5 linked regions of the Cricetulus griseus genome follow. The protein of the gene in region 4 purifies or fractionates together with the protein of the main gene of each other region. This does not show direct contact. Links are inferred from orthologs where the notes say so. Each region holds a gene or a part of one and is shown on either strand. Other genes may lie near its edges.

Evidence for each region.
Region 1: the proteins of Ppp1r12a (region 4) and Rpa1 fractionate together in Homo sapiens (co-fractionation; 3 studies listed by BioGRID, with this or other methods). This does not show direct contact. The link is inferred for Cricetulus griseus from reciprocal best matches to the Homo sapiens genes PPP1R12A and RPA1.
Region 2: the proteins of Ppp1r12a (region 4) and Ppp1cc purify together in Homo sapiens (affinity purification with western blotting; 3 studies listed by BioGRID, with this or other methods). This does not show direct contact. The link is inferred for Cricetulus griseus from reciprocal best matches to the Homo sapiens genes PPP1R12A and PPP1CC.
Region 3: the proteins of Ppp1r12a (region 4) and Ppp1cb purify together in Homo sapiens (affinity purification with mass spectrometry; 6 studies listed by BioGRID and IntAct, with this or other methods). This does not show direct contact. The link is inferred for Cricetulus griseus from reciprocal best matches to the Homo sapiens genes PPP1R12A and PPP1CB.
Region 5: the proteins of Ppp1r12a (region 4) and Rhoa fractionate together in Homo sapiens (co-fractionation; 3 studies listed by BioGRID and IntAct, with this or other methods). This does not show direct contact. The link is inferred for Cricetulus griseus from reciprocal best matches to the Homo sapiens genes PPP1R12A and RHOA.

Annotation. Positions count from the first base shown.
Region 1 is NC_048600.1:88,759,991-88,764,483, forward strand, and holds part of Rpa1 (replication protein A 70 kDa DNA-binding subunit), read right to left. Parts: intron 2,212-4,493; coding exon 2,079-2,211; intron 1-2,078. UniProt on the Homo sapiens protein: As part of the heterotrimeric replication protein A complex (RPA/RP-A), binds and stabilizes single-stranded DNA intermediates that form during DNA replication or upon DNA stress.
Region 2 is NC_048597.1:102,007,299-102,012,412, forward strand, and holds the start of Ppp1cc (serine/threonine-protein phosphatase PP1-gamma catalytic subunit), read left to right. Parts: upstream 1-2,048; 5' UTR 2,049-2,270; coding exon 2,271-2,325; intron 2,326-5,114. UniProt on the Homo sapiens protein: Protein phosphatase that associates with over 200 regulatory proteins to form highly specific holoenzymes which dephosphorylate hundreds of biological targets.
Region 3 is NC_048600.1:11,974,453-11,977,828, forward strand, and holds the end of Ppp1cb (serine/threonine-protein phosphatase PP1-beta catalytic subunit), read right to left. Parts: intron 2,739-3,376; coding exon 2,634-2,738; 3' UTR 944-2,633; downstream 1-943. UniProt on the Homo sapiens protein: Protein phosphatase that associates with over 200 regulatory proteins to form highly specific holoenzymes which dephosphorylate hundreds of biological targets.
Region 4 is NW_023276806.1:146,975,921-146,980,413, forward strand, and holds part of Ppp1r12a (protein phosphatase 1 regulatory subunit 12A), read right to left. Parts: intron 3,523-4,493; coding exon 3,432-3,522; intron 2,377-3,431; coding exon 2,176-2,376; intron 1,942-2,175; coding exon 1,770-1,941; intron 919-1,769; coding exon 797-918; intron 1-796. UniProt on the Homo sapiens protein: Key regulator of protein phosphatase 1C (PPP1C). Mediates binding to myosin. As part of the PPP1C complex, involved in dephosphorylation of PLK1. Capable of inhibiting HIF1AN-dependent suppression of HIF1A activity.
Region 5 is NC_048597.1:216,484,195-216,489,363, reverse strand, and holds the start of Rhoa (transforming protein RhoA), read right to left. Parts: upstream 3,023-5,169; 5' UTR 2,881-3,022; intron 2,486-2,880; exon of another isoform or gene 2,348-2,485; intron 1-2,347. Other genes in the region: Tcta (T-cell leukemia translocation-altered gene protein), read left to right, coding at 3,495-3,717, 4,984-5,169. UniProt on the Homo sapiens protein: Small GTPase which cycles between an active GTP-bound and an inactive GDP-bound state.

The sequences.
Region 1 (4,493 bases), on a different chromosome or scaffold from region 4:
GACAAACCCCAGACAATGTGAAGATGGAGGATGATCCAATAAAATATATTTTTGAGACAGGGCTTCTCTGTGTAGCCCTGGCTGTCCTGAACTTGCTCTGGAGACCAGGCTGACCTCGTACTCACAGATCCACCTGCCTCTACTGTGGAGTGCTGGGATTAAAGTCGAGAACCATCACTGCTCAGATGGTTCTCAGTAAACTTTTACTGACAACATCAGACAGCAAGTTCACAGTCTTGACCAGCAACAACTCCTGGACTGAATAAAGTTCAAGAGAATGCCAAAGTACCCACGACGACAACCATGTAAACAGTAGTCTCTGCTAAGTAACCTAGGAGGACTAAGTCATGTTAAGGGTTCTGAGTGGATCCGCTTTACCTCTGTACCCAACACACAAGTTTTCAGGACTCTGTGTTTTCAGTTTATGTTCAGTGGTCAAGTAACTGCAGAATCCAGGAATACCCTGAATTCAGAGCTAGGCTATCAAAACCATTGGGCCTTTTTAATTAGCCCTGGCTATGCAGAAACTCTCTATACAGACTAGGCTGGCCTCAAACTCACAGAGACCCACTTGCCTCTGCTGCCCAAGTGTTGGGATTAAGGGCATTTGCCATCATGCCTGGCTCACACTGGGTCTACTTGATGTCTCAGACCAGAGGTGCAAAACAATGTGGTCATTTAAAAAGACTATGCTAGTACCCAGTTTAGACAGCTTTAGGGCTGGGTGTGTAGCTCAGTGGAAGAGCTTGACTGGCATGCACGAGGAGCTGGGTTTAACCCTCAGCTCCACAGAACTGAGTACATAAGAAGGCTTGGGGTGGCTGGGTGGGGAGATGGATCCACTGTTAAGAACACTGGTTGCTTTTGCAGAGGAACCAAATTCAGCTCCCCAGCACCCACATGGTGGCTGTTCCAGGGGATCTGATGCCTTCTTCTGACCTCCTCAGACACCAGTCACTCATTTGGTTTGTGTCATATGTTACTTGACCACTGAACATAAACTGAAAACACAGAGTCCTGAAAACTTGTGTGTTGGGTCCAGCTGGGTCCAGGGAGAACATTAATACACATAAAATAAAAACATTAAAAAGAAAGCAAGCTGGGGCCAATATGCCAGCTCATGGGGGAAAGCGCTTGCTGTCAGGCCGGATGACCTGAGCCTGGTCCCTGGGACTCACAGGGAGAGCTCAGTTTGAATTCCATACACTGCAGTGGAAAATGCAAATGAAAAATGACTTTAAAAATTGTGAGGAAAAAGCTGTAGAGAGCTAAACCTTAGAATGCCTAAAGAGTTTCTCTCTATTTCCAGGTAAGATGCAGACTTGAAGCCTGATTTAACAGTGTATGCTCAGTTCTGACTGCATACTGTCTATCTTTAGTTTAAGAGAGCAACTGGCTGACAAAAGAAACAGAATCCAACCAATGTTTAATTCTCAAGATGTTCTATAATAGTATTATAAGTTGCTGTGGATGACAATGATGGATCGAGTGCACAGTGAAATGAGACAGTAAGGAAGAAAACCTATATTGTATATGATGACAATAAAGGAGCCGCAGCAAGTGATGCTTAGGGAGCACAATAGAAATAAATGATTCAAATATCCAGCAGAACACAGGTTAGGCCAAGGGAGGAACACTGAAACAGAAAGCTGTAACTAAAGTCAAATACCAGTCCTTGGCAGGATAGCAGCTGCTCTCCATCTACAACTCAGGCTCAAACCCACAGGAGCTGCCTGATGCTTGACAGCCTGACACTGATGCTCTGCTCAGACACTAACATGAACCCGAGGCCAGTTCACACTACACTGCAGAGCCTGGTCACCACCATTTCCGCAGTATCCAGAAACTTGTCACACTTTTCTACTTCACACGAGAGGCCACAACACACCCTTCAACACACACAGCCTCTATACTGGCAGTGACAGAGACACCAACAACAAGAAGCAGTAACTGGCGCTCTGGCACAGGGCTCTGGGATCCCAGATGAGAACACAGCCCTGAACTAGCACCTGAAAGCAGATTTAAACACTCAACCATCTAGCGCTTTCTAGGCTTCTGTGAAGTAAGACGTGAGGTACCTTGTCACCCTGGCCCAAGTTCTCCGATTTAGCCTCATACAAAGTTTTCCAGTTGGTGTTGTTCCCTCCAGCGCCTCCACTCCTGAGGTCAGAGATGGAAACACCATCTAAGGCTTGTCCTTCTGAGTCGAACCTAAAAAACAAAACAAAAGCAATGGTGACAGGAACTTTGCATCCTTCTCAAATGTGCTGTTTGGATATACCAGCCACGAGCTCTGTCACTACCGGGTCCCATCTGGGTCCCAGCACACCTGAAGAATTACAATGGCCTTTCTTTTGACCTCATTTGTTTTGACCTCCACTCCCACATGACCCCATGGTCAAGACAAACAATGCCCAAATACCACAGACCCCCTGCCCCAAACTGGGCTGCATATTAAAAAAAAAAAAGCAGTGAACAGAGTCAGCAACAGAAGGCCACCCTGGCGCAGTCCCCCAGGCTTCGAGCCTTTACCTCAATCACTGAAATGAATCAGATGAAAAGGGACATTTTTGTTTCATGAGTCAGCCAAAAATGTTTTCATGGTAGAAAATCTTTTAAGCCTAATCAGTTGTAGAATTCAACATACTTCATCAGAAGGCATTATCTGCTGTGTTAGATATTTGCTTTCTCAGTGGGAATTTATTTATGCAAACATCAAGGTTAAGTCATTTATATGAAATTATTATTAAAACTGATTACACCTCTTGACCAGCTATTGGCTAATCCAAAGGAAAAGAGGCCAGGGAGAAGGTAGCAAGAACATGCAGTGGCGGAGAGTGGTGGGCTTGAGATTAAAAACATGAGCTGGCTGTAGTGAGTGGTGAACGTCTTTAGTCCCAGCCTTTGGGAGGCAGAGGTGGGTGCACCTCTGAGTTCGAGGCCAGCCTGGTCTACAGAGTGAGTTCCAGGCCAGCCAGGGATACACAGAAAAGCCCTTTCTCAAATAAATGAACAAACAAACACAAACATATCAAACACCCAAGTGGTAGGTAATTAAATGTTAACCACATACAGGACTGACTCCCTAAAAAGAGAGCACTCAACAGAGTGGCTGCTGCCCTAGGCCACATTGTGTCAGGTGAACAGCTACATCCGTCATAGAGGATAGAGTTCATAATTGGTTTTACCACTAAAAACTGTGAAGTTTATGGCTTCAAAAACTTCATGCAGACATTTGCCACAAAGATAGCTCATCAAGAATCAACAGAGCAAGGAGACAGGAGCCCTTCTTATAATAAAAATTCCACCCTGTTAGTGGCAAGATCTAAACTTCCGATAATCCTTGCCTGGGTGGGGTGTGTGCACTGAACCTGTCCTAGATCAATGACAGGACCTTTTGTTCAGGGGACATACATGCCTCTTTGTGTTTTCTGCGATCAGTTACTGACAGTGAAATATGAACACCTTACTGTGGGCATGCAATTAACCTGGAGTTGTGCTCAGAGCCTGGAAGAAAATCAACCAACAAAAACAAACCAAAGACACGATTGTTTCTAGTTAAACTACTATGGGATTCTGTCATATGATGCAATACTAGCTATCAGCACCGTTAAATAGATGGATGCAGGCTACTCGAGAGGGTGGCTTAAGCAATACAGACATTCTAGGAGATATTCTATCAAATTATTAAAATATCACTGTTACTGGAGTATATCAGATTCAAAACAAAAATGAGGAGTATAAAATGAGCTATTTCTTGAATCCCCTAAACTCTAAGCCATAGCTGGAAACCACACATGCCCCCTGTGACTACAGCTACACAAATGACTTAAGCTTGAGCTGGGTAAAGTCTTTTCTTTGCCCACATCAATTCTTCCACACTACATTCTCAGGATGAAGTGCTCTTCTAAGGCAGAGTTTTAATGCCTTAAAAAAAAAAAAAAAGCTAGATACGGTGTGGGGATCTTAACAAGCTCTCCTGTCTCTTGAGTGCTTCGAGAATAACGATGTAATGCCAACAAAAAGCCCATTGTTCCCACCATGCTTTGACAGAGGTGAGTGAATACACACCAGAAGAGGTGACCAGCTCCCGAGACTCCAGAGTGAGAAAGTACATTTTACCCCCACATCAGCTGCCCACAGCTCAAACTTAGGAGCAAAAGATGCTCTCAACACATTCTTTTAGCACGCAGCTGTTAAAGCCTTGCTGTTGGGGGGAGTGGAGTAGTGGTGGTGGTGGTGGTGGTGGGGATCAGGGTCAGCATGCACACTTCACTTACATTCTAATTGCTTTCTCTGACTCTCTAGGTTCATCAGGGGATTAAGTTGGTCAGCTTAAGGGCTTTCAGGCCACCATCTCAGAAGGCGTAAGGCCTCCGAGAAATGAAGGAACCACTCCAATCAATAACAAAGTTTCGGCAGAAGCTCAGATGCTGATGGAAACTAGCTCTTCTCAAGGCCTGAGCACAAGTAACCGCTTAGCCGAGGCCCAT
Region 2 (5,114 bases), on a different chromosome or scaffold from region 4:
TTGACACAAGATTTTGTTCTGGAGCCTTGCCTAGCCTGCAGCTGGCCTCAAACTCACAAAGATATGCCTACCTTTGCCTCCCGGTGCTGGGATTAAAGGCATATACAACCATGCCCAGCCTGGAGGTAATTTTTTTATTAAAATATTTTATTACATTTTATTTATTTTGTATATATGTCTGCTTGGTGGTCAGAGGACAACCTCTCTTCATTAGGGTATTGGGGCTGGCAGGCTTGGTGGCAATCACCTTTACCCACTGAGCCATTTAGCTGGCTCGCACAACGAGACAATTTTTGGCTCATACAAATGAGAGTGCAGTGTCTCTATATGAATTTCCTCAGAAAGAAAGGCTTCCTCTGTTTTGTTCACCCTGCTCCACGCCTAGAAAAAACTCAGGAACAGAGTAGGCACTCTGTAAATATTTGTCTCCTTAGGGAACCGTCTTATATCCCTGTCCCCAAAGTGTCATTGGGAAGATACACTCTGCCCCAGAGGAGCCCAAGTCCCAGAAACTCCTTGAGAGCCAAACAAGATATTCACAGCAGGGCTTGGCATAGGCCCCAGACGTCAAGATGTCTACTGAGCCAGGTGCCTTGGAGTGACAAATGACACTTGTGGGACTGGTAGGCAAAAACATAGCTTGGGAGAGTAAGTTGGTGACTGAGTAAAATGGTGCAGGCAGTTGAGGGGAGCTGGGATGACTCCAGAAGCTCCACCGTTGGCGCCAGCAGCAGAAAGGAGGCCAGAGATCTGCAAGGGTGCACCCCATGCCATGCTGCTGTGGCCTGGTGAAAATGAATCTCCAGATGGGGAAGCCACCTTGCTAGGAACACACGGAAGGGAATCCGTGCATCCCTTTTGCTTTGAGAATCATGAGCTTTTGGAGTGGGGGGTGGGGAAGAGGATTTTTGTAAACTGTGAAGGGCTGCTTGGAGAGAGAAATGGGTCAGGTGGGTGTGCATTTTCAGATCCAGTTAGCCTGAGAGGCAGCACAGTTGGGGGCTCCCTGGAGAAGGGTGCCCTCGGGGAGGCGATGAAACCAGAGGCAAGCAGCAGTAGAATGTGCTGAAGCCCGGGGCGCACAGCAGCCTCTAACTCGCTTTCCTCCGCAAATTCCCATCTTATCTGCTGCCGTGCGCTCATTCAATCCAGCTCAGGCTAAATCCAGGGGAGAACATCACGGTTATTATATAACTTTCTGAGTTCAAGAAAGATAATCTAAAGATAGGTGACACCTTACAAAAGTCTCCCAACCTCTCCCTAAAATGTAAAACTGCAGAAGTGCACGCAAGAGGTACACAGTTACTGAATTATGCACTACTCACAATGGACTAACGTTTCTTTTATCTGGGGGAGGCTTTCTTTTTTTCAAATACTGGATCTTAGATACTTTATTGCAGTATTACGAAATCTTGGCAGTGCTGGGGATTGAACCCAGGGTCTCACACATACTAGACAAGCGTTCATACCACAGAGTCATACATACAGCTCTTCTTGCTCACCAATATGAGCCGGCATATTTGAATCCTCGACCCTCCAACTTCCTTCTCCTAAAGATCCTCCATGGACATCTCCAACCCAGATTGGTTCCGAGGGGTGGGTGACTGACTCCCTGGTGAGCTCCCACCCCGCCGAGTCTGCAGACATCTGCCCCAAATCAGCAGCACCGGGAGGAGATCTTAACTCTAGCAACGAGCAGCCGCCGGACAATACCCGTCTTTAACTCGCGCGCGCGCCAACTTTGCAACTTCACTCTCCCGCGGGGGGTGGGGTGGGGGTGGGGGTGGGGGCGGGGGGGTGGAGGGTGGGGGTGGGGGTCTATTCCCCGCCCCACCCTCCACTCCCGTCCCCCACCCCCACCCCCCGCCCGTTTGGCGGAAGGATCCCGCGCGCGGATGGGTGTCTCACCGTCTCTGCCAGGCCCCGCCCCTGAAGCGCGAAGGCCGCCCCCTCCCGCAGCGGCCCCGCCCTCCCGCGCCCTATGGGCCTGAAGTCCCGGCCGCCGCTGCACTCCCCGCGCGCGCATCCGTGCGCCGCCCGAGGCTGGCCTGACGAGTCGGCGGCCATTTTGTTCTTCTCGTGGTTCCAGTGGCGAGAGGAGGAGGAAGCCGGGAGCGGGGCGGCTGGGGGGGGGACCCGCCGCGGCTGCTGCTGCCACCGCCGCCGCCACCACCGCTCGTGGGGCTCGTGGCGTGAGGAAGGAGGACGTGTGAGGCCCGGGCGCGAGCCGGCGGCGGCGCCGCTGCGGGAGGGTCGGCGGCAGGACGGCGATGGCGGATATCGATAAACTCAACATCGACAGCATCATCCAACGGCTGCTGGAAGGTGAGCGGCGCGCGGGCGGGCGGGCGGGCGGGGCCGGTGGGACCAGGCCCGGTGGGGACCGGTCCTCGGAAGCCGCTTGGATCTGGGGCGCGCACACAGCGCCTCCGGGTCTAGGGACAGACCCCTTGTTTTTATTACTGCCTCTCCTGCCCTTGCTCTCACATTGTGATAAATCTGGAGTCCAAGGACCCAGTGTGACTTGGCGGGGCGACGTCCCGGGGCGACGAGAGCCCCGTCCCTTGCATCCCCCCCCCCCAAAAAAAAGCCATCCTCCCTCCGGCGCTCTTTCCCCTTGAACGTGCATCCGCACACGGGCCGAGCCGCGACCGGGGTGACAGTGTCTGTGGCTCTCTGCTCATCAGATTGTTGTCCCGAGGAGAGGGGCGCGCTGCTGCATTCAGCGAGCGCCCTGCCAGGTAGGTGCTGTTATCTTGGAAGAAACTTAAAAGACCTCGCCTGACCAAGGGCGAGTCCCGCTTCAAACCCCTGGTAGCCAAGGTCTAGACACGACCTGCCTGCCCTCTTCCACTGTTCACCCTGTGGGAGCGCAGGGCATGCGTGCCTAGTGGCTAAGGGAAGGTTAAAAATCTTTTCTTTTGTCCGACTTATGACGGGGTGGGTGGGGGGCGCTGCAGTGGGTTCCTAGTTGGTGAGAGATTAATATGACATAGGGACTCCCCACAATTCCCGACCTAATGCTGATTGGGTTCTTGACAATGTTATTAACTAGCTGGCTTTTGCTGCTTTTGCCTAAAATACTGTTGGCGTGTAAGAAACATGCCGTGAGTGGTGGTGGTGAACAGCTGCAGAGTCATTGAAAGAAAAGTAAAAAGTGTCTTTTTAATCTGTGCATTTTCTCCCCTAATACTTTATTTTATTGCTTTGTTTAGATCGGGTCTTTTTTGTTTTTGGCTTTGTTGAGACAGGGTCTCTGCAGTCCTGGCTGTCCTGGAGCTCGATGTGTGTAGATCAGGCTAGCCTCAAACTCTCAGATCCCTCTGCCTCCCCTTCCTGAGTGCTGGGGATTAAAGGCTTTTATCATCATTTCCCCTAGATAAAGTCCCACAGAGCCAGAACTGGCCTTGAACTCCTGATCCTTGTGCCTCCTCCCAAGTACTAGAAGTTATAAGCCACCAAGCCTGGGTTATGAAGTCCTGAGGATTGAACCCAAGGCTTCTTCCTACACGCTGAGTAAGCATTCCATCACCTGGGCTGCATCCCCAGCTCAGATTTCGTTGTGTTTTTTTTTTTTTTTTTTTTTTATGTTTAACACTATGCTGAAAAAGTTTTAGCAGTAAACTTGGCTCATCTTTTGTTTTTAAATTTATTTTTCACATGGGATGTGTGTGAGTGCACCCAGGCCACAGCACCCGGGATTAGAGGACAATTGGGTGTGTGTAGTTTGTTCTTATCTTTGTGTAGGCTTGCTTCATCAGCTTTCCTTTCTCCCCCTTTAAAAATTTTTGTTTTTAGATTTTATGTTTTAAGCTTTGTCTTCATATGTATGTGTTTACCACATGCATGCCTATAACCAAGGAGGTTAGAAAGGGGCATTGGGTCCTCTGGGGCTGGAGTTAGATGGTTGTGAGCCACTATCTGTGCTGGGAGCGTAGCCAGGGTTATCCCCAAGAGCAGCAAGTGCTCTTGGCTGCTGAACCATCACCTCAGCCCCCCCTTCTTTTTTCTTTTTTTTTTATGGGGGGAACAGGTTTGAAGACAGCTTTTTTCTACATAGATCAGGCTGGCCTTGAACTCAGCTCTGGGATTAAAGGTGTGTGCCACCATTGATGGGCCCCTATAGTTTCTTGAATGTTACTTTTTAAATTTTGAGACTGAGTGTCACTACCAAGCAAAGGCTAACCTGAGATTTACAGAGATCTGCCTGCCTCTGCCTCCTATAAGTGTTGGAATTGGAGACTTTACCACCATGTCCAGGCTGGTTTTTTATTTTCTTTTGAACTTAATAGAGTAGGATACTATATTTAAATGCTTTGAGAATAAGCTAGTTGCACAGTATATGTTTCTTCTTATTTCTGTATGTGAACTTAACAAAACCACAGCCTTCTGTTGAGGATGTGTGTGCTTCTCCATTAGAGAATGTGGTGTTGTGCTCTCTCTACTTTGTGTACCATCTTTAGGGCCGTCATCTCTGAACACTGGGAGTGAGATTTAAGTAATTCATAGACTCTAGAGATGGCTCAGCTGATAATTAGTGGCTCTGCCCTTAACCACGAAGACCTGATTTGATCCTCAGGACCCACAAGAACTTGAGAGGAGAACCAGACTCTCGCCTGCTTCCCTCCCTCCCCAAACGCTCCCAGCAAGTGTGTACTTGCACACCTCTACATAGTAAAATGAAATTCAGGGTTTAATTCCAAAAGGTGGAGATAAGATTTGTCACTTGATGAGGCATTTTTTCCAATTGATAATTGATTCTTTTGTAGTTGGGCACCTTACTGCCCCAACACTCTGGAGCCTGGGACACGGAAATGCAGACATTCTAGGCCAGGCTGTGTTGGATAGCAATATCTGTCTCACAGTTGGAACCCTTCCTCAAGAACTCCCAAACTTAAGAGCTATGAACGAGCTGAGAAAGGGCTTTGCAAGCGAGGGCTGTATGAACGAGATGGGACAGGGTCTTTAATAATGAGGTGTGGCCATGTGGCACACTCCTTCATCCCAGAGCGGTGAGCTGGGAGGCCAACCTGGTCTACACACCAAATTCCATGCCAGCCAGCTATCCATAGTGAGACCCTGTCTCAAAAAATCAAGGGCTGGAGAGATGGTTA
Region 3 (3,376 bases), on a different chromosome or scaffold from region 4:
ACTTTTCTTTTTTTTTAGATTTTATTTATTTATTATGTATACAACATTCTGCTTCTATGTATATCTGCACACCAGAAAAGGGCACCAGATCTCATAACGGATGGTTGTGAGCCACCATGTGGTTGCTGGAATTGAAGTCAGGACATCTGGAAGAGCAGTCGGTACTCTTAACCTCTGAGCCATCTCTCTAGCCCTTTGTTTTGTTTTGTTTTTGTTTGTTTTTCGAGACAGGGTTTTTCTGTGGCTTTGGAGGCTGTCCTGACTGCCTCAGTCTCTCGAGTGCTGGGATTAAAGGCGTGTGCCACCACTGCCCAGCTGTAACTTTTCATCTAGTGACTGGACACTGTAAAAAAAAATTTTTTTTTTTTCTCAGAAAGATCTTAATATGTAGACCTGACTTCATAGATCTTCATGTCTGCATCACAAATCTTGGGACTTAAGGCAGCCTGTATTCTATTTTTTGTCTTTGAGATTTTGCCAGCAAACTAGCATAATAATCTGTGATAGCTGCATATGTTCAGCTGTGATTACTGTATTATTGTTAGGAGCACATAATGTACTGAGTGCTTATCTATGAGAAGCTGTAGAGTAGTTTTTAAGAGATCTGAAATAATTTTTCTACATAGTATAATGTCTATCCTTTAATAACCAATACTAATTTGCTTACTTTTCCTTAGTTTTAATCTGAATGAATATTTATAAAAATCTGGTCTATAAGATACAAATTAACTAATATTGAGATTAAGGCTTACTTTCTTGAGCTACCTTTAAATATAGACAACTAAGAGATAACAACTAAATTCCTATTAGCAACTATTTGATTTATACCCCAGCAAAGTTAACAAATCACATTAGATAAATGTGTGTGTCATCTAATGAAACATGGCTACAACTATGTCAGTACATGTCTCATTGTAAAACAACACAGAATGATCACTCAGGCTTTGTATCAATTAGACAACTTTTACTAAATGAGAAAACTACATTTAAAATGTGCTTTAAAACAAAATTAGAAAAAAAAAAAGATGAATGCGTTTTAAAGAACTTTTGCACTGTGCTGAAAATCAAATGTTTCTTGCAGTAATACAATGTGCCAATCCATAAAATGTTAACAGAGTTCTCAGTTTAACATTTTCAAAGACAATATAAGGTTTCACATCTATGGTAACACATAAGAAGGGCATTATAAATATTATGTCCATCCCTATGAAGCTTACAAATTTGACATGTTCAATAAAGACTTTAGAATCACATCCAATAGTGTCACATCCAAAGAACCACAGATCTGTGCCTGTTGTTAAGTCTTCCTTCTAAAATCTGTGTTGACCTTGCTACTCCTTGACATTTGTTAATGCTAACCCTTAAAAAAAAAAGAGAACAGGAAAAGAAATGCTGCAATAAACTCTTGATCATGTACAGAAATTATTGCTACTATACTTCACTACAAAGCATGTCTATACATATTATGACCTTTGATTATGAAAACGCAGAGTAAAATCTTTAGTGACAAAGCCTTACAGTCAAAAACAACATTCACATGGCAATTATTAGACAGTGAAGCACCCGATACTCAGAGCTGACAAATGTCCCACTGACCAGCATTCATTTAAATACATCCTTCACATGGAGAGGGAAAGAAGAGCGCCAGCTTTCCAAGGCTTGTCAAAAAAAGGATTCTCATGTTCTGTGGATCTAAAAACAAACAAACAACAACAAAAACCCCAAAAAACAAAACCAATGCAGGTGAGGGTAATTACCAGAAAGTTAAGCATGCCAAAAGGTGTTTCGTGCGAATTAAAACCTAAAGCCAAGGTACCACATAATCACATTACCAACTAGTTTTGGGTAATACTATATGAGCCTTATCTTAAACAAAATGCTACTGCACAATAGAGCATCAATAAATTAAAAATTAGAGTGCACAAATCCAAATCAGTGGCAATTTTGTAAAAAGCGAAATATTCATTATCAGCTGCAAAGGTTGCCCAGTCAAACTGTTTGATTAAAATCATTGGATCAGATAGTTTGTATATTTTTAAAACCCATCAACCCTTAAAATTCCTTTTTGTTATTTTGAGGCATAAGTTTTCTTAGTAAGATCAAACAGTTACATAAGTAGCTAAGTGAAGAAAACTAATAGTTGGTGAATGTCTTTAAAGCTCTTCCCATATTTCACTTTTTAAAATGTTTAGGGAAAAACAGGAAAAGTAGTTGCCATTATTCTAGCAAAAACAAACAAAACAAAACAAGCCCAAAATAATTAAACAACCAAGCAACACTAAAACCACATTACACAGATGGAACGTCATGCTTTCATCGGGTAACTACCACAGCTAGTTTAACTGGGATGCTTGTCATCTTTAAAAAGTGTGATACCAGAAGATATAACTTCAATGGATACTTTTGAATTTGGATTTAACTTTGTTGAATATTATAACAGAGTATACTTATTACAATACAGTGTAGCACATCTTTCTATTAGAAAAAAATTTAAGCTCCTTTACCCGTCTCCTTAAGTTAAAGGTGTGACCTCATAAAGGGTGTCGAATGGCTGGATGGTTTTACAGTGCACACTTTATATTATGAAGTATGTCCTTAACAGATCTGATGCTTTCTTTACAGAATTCCTTTCTTCACCTTTTCTTCGGTGGATTAGCTGTTCGAGGTGGAGTGACAGGACGTCCAGAATTCAGTCCACCATACTGGTACTTAGCTTTCTTTTCAGATGGTTTCAATATCTTAAAATAAATAATTTATTAACAACATTATTCTTTCAATAAATGGCATCAATTGTTAAAGTCCAATGAAAACAGAAGCTCAGCAACATTGCACAAACATTTCTTAGATTTTAGGACTGGGTAAGTTTGTCAGAGCAACTCAGTGTGTGCTCAGCATGAAAAAGAGCCTGGGTCCTGCCTCCAGCACCACCCTTCTCCAAGGAGGGCACTTACTAGTTATCATTTCCTTTGTATTCTAATAACAATGGCTTGGATGCACAGTCTCAGTAACTAAGTTAAAATTTTCTTCATTAGTTCATCTCATTAGAGAGGAAAAAACACTGAGTCTGAGTCAAAAACTCCAGGTTCTCGACTTACTTCTGAACACGCACCCTGAGGAGTGGTGTAGTTGTTGGTGTAGGCAGATTAGCCTCATATTCATGGCAAGCCTTCTGCCCTAGCATTTTGAGTGCTGAGATTACAGGCATAAGCCACCACACAGAACTTTGACTTTATTTTCCCCGTTACAGGTAGATCTTACTTTAAATTTTTTTTATGAAGCCCGGTGGTGGCGCACACTTTTAATCCCAGTACTTGGGAGGCAGACACAGGTGGATCTTAGTGAGTTTGAGGCCAGCCTGGTCTACAAAGAGAGTTCC
Region 4 (4,493 bases):
TTAATAGTTTTTGCCTATAGTTCAGAAACTGAAAGTTACACTTCTGACATAGGACTGCTTTAAGAAATAGGTTTATAATTTCCTAAATCTTTTTTATTTATTTAGGTTTTTCAAGACAGGGTTTCTCTGTGTAGCCCTGGCCATCCTGGAACTCACTCTGTAGCTCAGGCTACAGAACTCACAGAGATCCACCTGCCTCTGCCTCTCGAGTGCTGGGATTAAAGGTGTGCACCACCACAGCCTGGCGCCTTCTGTTTTTTCAATGGAGGAATGCATACAATTTAGAGATTCATTTTTTATAGCCATAAAAGTAAATTATTGCTACATATAACAGCATAGATGTACTTCAAAAGAGAATACAGTTGTACTCAAATGTGTCAACAGTCGACATTAAAAACGATGAGAGTATGGGGACTTTGTATAGCCATTTTTATGCTGTCATGAAGCTATACATTTATTTATTATGTTTCTGGATAAAGATCAAATTTTAATAAAATGGTTTTATGGACTGAGGTTGTATCTCACTGCCAAAGCATTCGTTTGCCTAGAATGTTTGTTGCTTCAATTTGACCCTCAGTTTTGTGAAGAAATTACTAAAAAATGTTAAAAACAAAAAAATATCAAGAGGCTATATTTATTCAGGTTATATATATGTGTGTGTGACTGTTTATAAAGTATTTTAAAATTTAATAATGGACTAATGATTTAAAACACATATACTCTCAGGGATGCAGCAGTTCTGAACAAGCGCTGGGAAGGTTAAGTGTACTATCAAGTGTTTTTAACAGGTTCTCACATCTTGTGTCCAAAAGGAAACTCCAGTCGACCGCCTTTTTTCTCTAGGTCTCCGTCGCTCTCTGATTGATTTAGCTTGTGATTTATCTTCACCTTCTTTTTCCTCTTCTTTCTTCTCTCCCTCTATTATGGATTATACGCCACATGAGTACATTTTATCTTGACAACGTCTTTACAAGGATACGGCAAAACAATTCTAGGACTGGCTGGCTGGTTCAATGGGTAAATATGACTGCTGCCAAGCCAAGGGACCCACACGGTGGAAGGGGAGAACAGATTCTGACAATCTGTCCTCCGACCCCCACAGGTGAGCCACCATACTTACCCTCATACATCTATCCTTTCCCAGCACTTACAAAATAAAAGAAAAGTCACACCCCAATTCTAAGTTAGCCTCTTAGGTGAAGTCTACATTTTTCCAATTAAAAATAATTTTTGCCTCCATCAGTACTTGTATATATTTGACAAAGCATGCATTTCAATCTCCCATTAAGGCACAGTTATTGGCCATGAGTACAAATTATCTCTACTTTCTTGCTGTCCAAAATAAAAACATTTTCCAAAGACACAATATTTGCAAGTCGAAAACAAGGTGTTTGGTGGGAAGAATAGGGATGCAGTTATTAATATGTGATAGTAATTTATACCCAAACTAATAATGTGCGAGGAAACAAGCAGACCAAACAAATGATGGGACAGATGGTAGGAGCCCAGTTGCTCCTTTACCACTGTTTTCTACCACTTCACAGTCACTGAAAAATCTACCCATCTTTCATTAAAAGCAAATCGTATAAACATGATTGCTGTTTCCTCCCTGCAAATGGCTTCCATACTACAAGACTACAGGGGCCTTTGAACACACAGAACACGACTGCTTGCACCATTTCTGTTCAATCAGTTTAAGATTGTCTTCCTGAGGTGCACTGGAAGGAGGGAAACCTCCTCAAAGATGGCTTGAAAAAGTGATTTCTTACCTCTTTCATTTTCTTTCGTTAATCCCCGGGAGTAGGCAGAAGTTATACCTACAAGACTGTTTGGCCTGTTTAGCTGACTTGAAGCATAGAGTGAGCTGCTGATAGTAGAAAGTGAGGAGGATGATGGAGTGGTGGAACTGGAGGTTGACACTGGTCTGTAACGTGTATAAGTCTGTGAAACATTAAAGATGAAACCCATTGGAAATAGTAATTACAGTAAAGACACATAAGACACAATGCTGACTTCAAAGAACAAGCACTATTTGCATCATGCTAAAGCCATTTGGACTCTAGCCCAAGCCTTTCACGTATGTCACGCAGCTTGTTAGGCTATACATCTCAGCACACTCAGAACCCCAAGAATCCCTCATGACACTTGACTCAGCTATGCTGCCCATAGCATTACCTCATCATATGATCTGGAATACTTTTGTTTATATTCATCTTCTCTAGATGTTTCTGACTCCTTCTTTTCTTCTTGCTTCTCTTTATCCTGTTTTTCTTTTTCCTCTTTTTCTTTCTCTTCATTTTCTTGTTCTCTGGTTCTTGTAGAACGACTTCTTCCTATTGTTTTTTCAGCTTCCTGAAGATCAGTCAGTGTTACGCCCTGCACATCAGAAAGGCATAAATAGTGAGACACATTAAAGACCATTTAAAAAGAATACTTTACAAGCTGATAAATCAAATATGAATGTAATTTTAATACAGTAAGTCACACTCACTTTACAAACAGCAACAATGACAGGAATTGGGAAAGTTGTAACTATAGATAAGAAACAGTCTCTATTTATAAACTAACAAAATACTAAGAAAATGGAAAAATCTGAATGTTTCTAATTTCAGAAGAAGAGCCAATCCATACAATATACCATTTTTATAATACACTACATGGATTCATTTTCACACATTAACTTGAGGTTTGACAAAGTCTTCAATAAGTAAGTACTGTTTTCAGGTTAGACCATTGAAAACAAGCTAAATAATAAAAATAGCTTAAGACCAAACAAACGTAACGCTTCGAAAGGCAAGTAATGGTAGGGTTCAAAGAGTTGAATCCATACTACTGTGGAGTTCCTCAAATGTAGGGAAAATACCATAATCAGAACAACGAGCAGGAAGTAGGAAAGTGACTACCTTGAGAGACACCACTCTTAACTTGCTATTTCCTATACTGAACACCAGGCCTATTTTCCATTCCTTCACCTCCACATATTCGTAAGACTTTAACAATTATAAGGCATCATATGGCTGGGCAATGGTGCATGCCTTTAATCTCAGCACTTGTGAGATAGAGGCAGGAGGACCTCTGAGTTCAAGGCCAGCCTGGTCTACAGAGTGAGTTCCAGGACAGCCAGGGCTACACAGAGAGACCCTGTCTTGAAAAAAACAAAACAAAAGCATCATGTGATTAACTCATTTAACACCTATGAATACTCTGTACCAGAAACCAAATTGGGTATGGAGGATTAAAAACAATACTCAAAGAGACAAAGGACTAATTAGATGTAATAAGATACCAAAAGTGTAACCTTATATACAAAAACTATGGAAGGATAAGTACAACAACCTTTACCTTTTCTGATTATTCATACAGCAAAGTGAAAATGAAAGGGCATGCATTAATTATCTACATGTTCTTTATATTATACACATTAAATATACCTGTGTTGACCTTCTAGACTGTCTTGCTTGTCTAGATCTTGCTTTTCTTTGGGATTCAGACTCTTCGTCTCTAACAGGAGTGAGGTATGACCTACAGTAATAGATAAAACTTATTACTTATAGAGTCAGTATGCATGAATAGAAATAGTCATCAATGTTTGTGATTAAAACAAGCAAGCTTTAGTGTTTAGTGGGTTAAAAAAAGAATCTTAAGAAAATGTACCTACTTTGAATTTCATTAATGCAATATAACTTTATTTAATTTTTAATGTGTGTGGATGTTTTGCCTTCTTGTTTTGTCTGTACTACTTGTCTGCCTGATACCCACAAAAGCCAATGGATCCCCTGGGAGTAGAGTTACAGACAGCTATCAACAGTCATGTGGGTGCTAGCAACCCAATTCCAGACCCTCTAGAAGAACAAGTTCTCCAAACCCCCGAGGAAGCTCTTCAGTCCATGATCATTTCTTTCTAGACAAGAACTAGTTATACTTAATATAGCATGTTGATTTCTTCCTTGCTACATTTAATGGTATAGCTTAATTTAAAAATAATGTAATTTAAAGTAACTAGAGAACGGATGATTGAAAGAAACATAAGCATTTCATTAGCAAAGTGTCAGTTCACAGATATGGAAAGGGTGGATCTAGCCTCCATTGAGAAACAACTCATTCCATGTTATTTCTTTAGGGCCCCACAAATCCATTTATCAACCAAGTTCTATCATTTTTATTATATTTTACTTAATATATTATTATAATAATTAATATTATATATTATCTTTTCTACACCCAGAATATTTTTAAGTACATCTTCTTTTCCAATCCCAACTCCAAATTCCTTAAAACATCCCCTTGGGCCTGTTTTGTTTGTTGTAACATTCTTAGATGACATATGAAGATATATGACTTAAAGTCTCTACTGTAAATGTCAGAACAGCTGTATTGAGATGGGGACATTCTTTACATTCATGTTATTTAATTATTTAAACTCTGAGTACAAATCATACTCTTTAGTTTTGTTTTGGAGACTGTTTCTCTGTGTGGCCCTGGGCTGTTCTGGA
Region 5 (5,169 bases), on a different chromosome or scaffold from region 4:
CTCCGGCTGAAAGGTTATCAACCCATTAATTAAAATATATAGAGGCTAATAGTATATAGCTAAGCAACAGAACGCTTGCCTAGCATCAAAGTTGGGTACAATTCTCAGTACCACAAAAAATAGTTAAGTAACATAACTAATGCTTTGGAGCAACATCTGAGTTCTACTGGGTAGAAACATAAAGAGGAGAGAAGAACATTACTAGGAACTTTTTTTTTGAGACAGGATTTTGTTATATAGCCCAGGCGGGCCTCAAATTAACAATCCTACCTCCTGGAGTACTGCAATTATAGGTTTCTCACCTCACCTACTTCCAGTTTTTAAATTCAGCATTTGTACACAGCATGCCATCATTGCTAGCAGTTATAACGCCATGGAACCAAATGTACTGTCTACAGAACCCACTAATCTCAAGTCAGTCTTGCAACAAGGTTAGCCAATCTCTCAAGGTTAACCTCCTCCTCCTCCTACTTCCACCCCACCCCATGGACTAAGAAACACCTGAACATTTTACTCTTCTAAAAATTTACACCGCTAATAGAGAGGATGGGCTGTTAAAAGGATTAATGATGAACAAAGAATAAGGACTATGAAAACACTCCAACAAAACCATTCTCACACACTGCACAGACCACTGCTTATGTATGTGATTTGTGCATTCTCACCAGTTCAAGTTAAAATCTAGTCAAAGGGGCTATAGTAGCCTGAAGACATTCTAGGGGGACCTCATTATGTTGTCTTTGTTAACAGTCAACTCCCAGAGGCTGGGTCCTCAAGAAAATCAACAAACTCAAAGACAAGGCTAAGCCAGAAAAGGGCTATGTACAAAAACTAGAAATTTAGACGGGCATTGGTGGCGCTCGCCTTTAACCCCAGCACTCAGGAGGCAGAGGCAGGCGGATCTCTGTGAGTTCGAGACCAGCCTGGTCTACAAGAGCTAGTTCCAGGACAGCCTCCAAAGCCACAGAGAAACCCTGTCTCCAAAAACCAAAAAAACCCCAAAAAACTAGAAATTTGTTTGGCAAGTGAACTGACCAGATTCTCCCTAAATACGCACAATCTGCAAGGTGAAGAACAGCAAGAGAGTAATCAGGAACCCTGATTTTAGCCGAGAGTACACGGAGGACTTTTTTTTTCAGATAGAAAAGTAGTTTTAGTCTAACTAGACATATGACCTTCAAAATTTTTAACGCTCACCAGGAACGGTGGTACACATCCCAGCACTATTCAGAAGGCAGAAGCAGGACAGCTAGATCTACAAATCAAGTTCCAGCGCTCAAGTCAGACTCTGTGTCCATTTCTCTTAAGTAGTAGGCAGGGGTCTCTCCCACTGTTCTCTCTGCAGAGTGCTAATAAACCTTTCTCTTGAAAAAAGTCCCTGAACTCAGTCTCCACGCCTACAAATGGAGTCAGCCTATAAATCCTTTAAATCTTTTCCAGTCTATATGGGGGAAAGTTGGCAGATTTTCCTTCTCCAGGAGATTTCTGGGTAGCGGCATTGTAAGTTGAACACTTGACTTTTGACTCAGTTAGTTATAGGGCTGGAATAAAGCTCAGAGATATAGCACCTGCTCACTATGCCCCAAGCCCTGAGTTTAATTTCAAGCACCAAAGAGAAAAAAAAAATAAAATAGAAAACACAAGCTCTCTATATATTTTATGCCCCTAAGAAACACCTAAGTAGACAAATTCTCACAATAGTTCTGAGAGCCTTCAATAGTAAGACCTAGCCTTGTATTTTAAGTTAACAAGGATACTTGTGTTAAATGTTCCAGACAGTATCACTACCAAGATAACCATGTGGATGGTGAGAAACCATCCACACGGTACATTCACACTTGGACATGTGACACTTAATGGCTGAAAATTCTCACCACATACTACATTGAGTTTCCCATCCCTCCAGGTTTGCCAGAGGAATATAATCTGGTTATATATAACCTGCAAAACAACACTTATTTCAAAAGAATGTCAGAAGACAGAAAGAACCATATGAATAACCAACAGAGGTTAAAATTCTTAGTGAGGACTATTAGAAAATACAAGTAGAACCAATTGTGGGACAAAAAAAAAAAGATGCCAATTTCCCACTTTATGCTACTAAACAAATCAAAAAAACAAAAACAAACAAAAAATATTTGGGTGCAAAAAGTACAATTTCAAGAAAACGACCTGAAAAGGGAACCCATCTGTAAGTGATTCCTAATTAAAGCAGTAACTTTAAGTAGAAATGCATCTATATCGATGCAACCTCTCCAAATTATTTTTACAATGTTTTTTCAACTGGAAAATACCTTCCCCCCATACAGTCTTCACCGCTAAGATTTCAAAACAATCATTTACTTACACAATCTCTAAGAATACGGCATTGAAAACAGAAAATCCACCCAAAGCCTCACTGTCTTCACCCGGTATAAAACGGTGATTAATGATCCACATTCAATGTAAAAGGCAAAATGGAGTTGTAAAAGAGTTTCTTGCCTATTCCAACTCCCGACACCACGCGCGCTTCACAGTGGCAGACTCCCCCAGCGCGGTCGCGGGCCGGCCGGGAGCCCCCGCCCAGCCCGGCGCAGCCCTGAGAGGAAGCGACGGGGAGGGCGGGCGGCTAGGGCTCCACCAGGCCCGGCCGGGCGGGGGAAGGGGGACTGGAGGCGGCGGGGCGCGCTTCGGGGACTGCGCGGGGCGGGCGGGGCCGCCGCCTCGGGCGCGGGGCCCCGGTCAGGGGGGGCCAGGGCTGCCGGCCGAGAGCAGCAGGTGGGGCGCGCCCGCGACTGGGGGACGGCGGGTGCCGGAAAGTGCCGGGCGGGCGGGCGGCGGCGGCGGCCGGCCGGCCGGGCCCCCGGAGCCGAGGCGGCTGGAGGGAATGCTTCTGCTCACCTCAAGGCGACCACTCCAAGTCCGGCCTCTTCGCGCCGAGGACGCCTGTCCGCGAGTCCGCAAGCTCGGAGACGAGGACCGGCAGCTCCGCGGAAGACGGCGGACTCAGCAGAGAACCGACGGAGGACCGCGGGCGGCGGGCGGCGGGCGGGGAGCGCGAGCGAACGAGGGCGGGCGGTGGCGGGAGGGCGGGGAGCGACGTGCGCGCCCCCGAGCGCCCTGCGGGCTCGAGCTGGCGCCAGTCGCGGCCCCGCGCACGCGCGCACTCTCGCAGTTCGTCCACGATTGCTCAAGAGCGCAACCACGCCCTAAAAGCAAGACGCTTAACCAATCATTGCGGCCGCGTGGAGCATCACGGGAACTCCGGGGCTATAAAAGACCAAGTTGCTATTTTATACTCACCGATTCACTCATCCTTTAAGTAGCAGGGCGGGGATGGGTGCGCCTGCGCGGTTTTAAAGCCCTGCCCCAAACTGCCAACACTTCGCGCAAGCGAAGTAGATCGTCTTTGCCCGACATTACGCGTGCGCACCTACTTCTCTAACCCCGGAAGACCGTGCGCTTGCGCAGTGAGAACTACGGTGACAGTACACCCGGTGGGGCGCTGGCCAGTCATGGCGGAACCTTGGTCTGGGCAGTTTTTGCAAGCTCTGCCCGCGTCGGTGCTCGGAGCGCTGGGCACCCTGGGCAGCGAATTCCTGCGGGAGTGGGAGACACAAGACATGCGAGTGACTCTCTTCAAGCTGCTCCTGCTGTGGTTGGTGTTAAGTCTCCTGGGCATCCAGCTGGCGTGGGGGTTCTACGGGAACACAGTGACCGGGTTGTATCACCGTCCAGGTGAGGCTCCCTACGAACCTCCTTGGCCTGGCTGCCCCTACCACCACCAAGCTATACCACTTGTTTCTCCTGTGTCCGCGTAGACTGCCACTGGTCTCCCAGAAGCCTCGTTGCACCCAGACTTACACCCCCATACCATCTTACATCAGAATCCCCACCTGTCCATAATCACGTTGTAACGGTTTCTCAAAAACCCTTACCAGACAATACTACCAGTCCCTAGCATCCCAGCCCCAATCTCTTAAACTGTACCAGTGGCCCCTTACCTGAGCCTGCTCAGATCCCCACCCTCAGCCTCCTGCAGCTCTGGGTGTGTTCCTGCCTCCAGGTCTGGGTGGCCAGAATGGATCCACACCTGATGGCTCCACACATTTTCCTTCATGGTGAGTAAATCTCCGTCTATCCCAACCCCATGCTTGGCAGGCAGAGAACACTGAGTGCTGGTGACAGGGAAGAGAATTCGCAGGGCCACCACCTTAGTGGCCTCTGCAAGAACCCTCCAATTCTGCAGGTAGAGCTCAGGATTCGAGTTGGGCATTTAGCAGTGCCTCTTATCAGCATATGCAGTGGGGATGGATGGTGGTGGTACCGTAATTTTAGAAAGGTGAAGTGGTAGGTAGGTCTGTTGGAAACAAATCCCTTGATTGGGAAGTCCTTCATTAGGAAAGTGAGAGTATCTATTCTAGGCAAGTACTGTACCATTGGAACTATAACGCCAGCCTAACAGCCTCTATTCTTAGCACACTACCTCATCAAAAAAAAAAAAAAAAAAAAAAAAAAAAAACCAGCCTACTTATCAAGACACTTCATTCAGTCAGTCTCTGAGCTTCTACCAGATAGCAGAGCTCACAGCAGGCCCAGAAAACAAGGACAACCCAGACTCTGCTACAGGGGAAGCAAGAGATTTAGAAGGAAAATAAGTACAAATGCAAAGTTGCTCAGGAAAGCAGCCCCTCCCCCATGACACCTAAACTGAGACCAAAGAGAGGACGGCACAGTATACTGGATAAGAAAAAAAAAAAAAAAAGGATAAAAACAGACCCAGTAGCAGGGACAAATGTGACACACTAGGAGACTAGGAGAGGCTGTGATAGTGAACTTTGAACACAAGAGCATAGGGGGACCATGGAGCGATTGAAGGACTGATTCAGCAAGACAGTGACCTGATCTAATTTGCCTTTATAACTCTCTGCTTAATAGCAAGTATTCATGGATAAACTATTCTGCTATTCATGAAGTAACCTTGCTTCTCTCCATCACTTTCAGGGAAATGGCAGCAAATGAACCTCTCAAAACCCACAGAGAATAAGGGAAGGCAGCAGCAGAAGCGTCTCCAGAGACATAACTGGGACTGCTGGCTCCTAGGTTGCATCCTGCTGCTGCCCAGACCCGTTGGACAACTGCAGAGGGCTTGGGGTTGGGGGACTGGAGTACCACAGTGTTTCCAGGGTG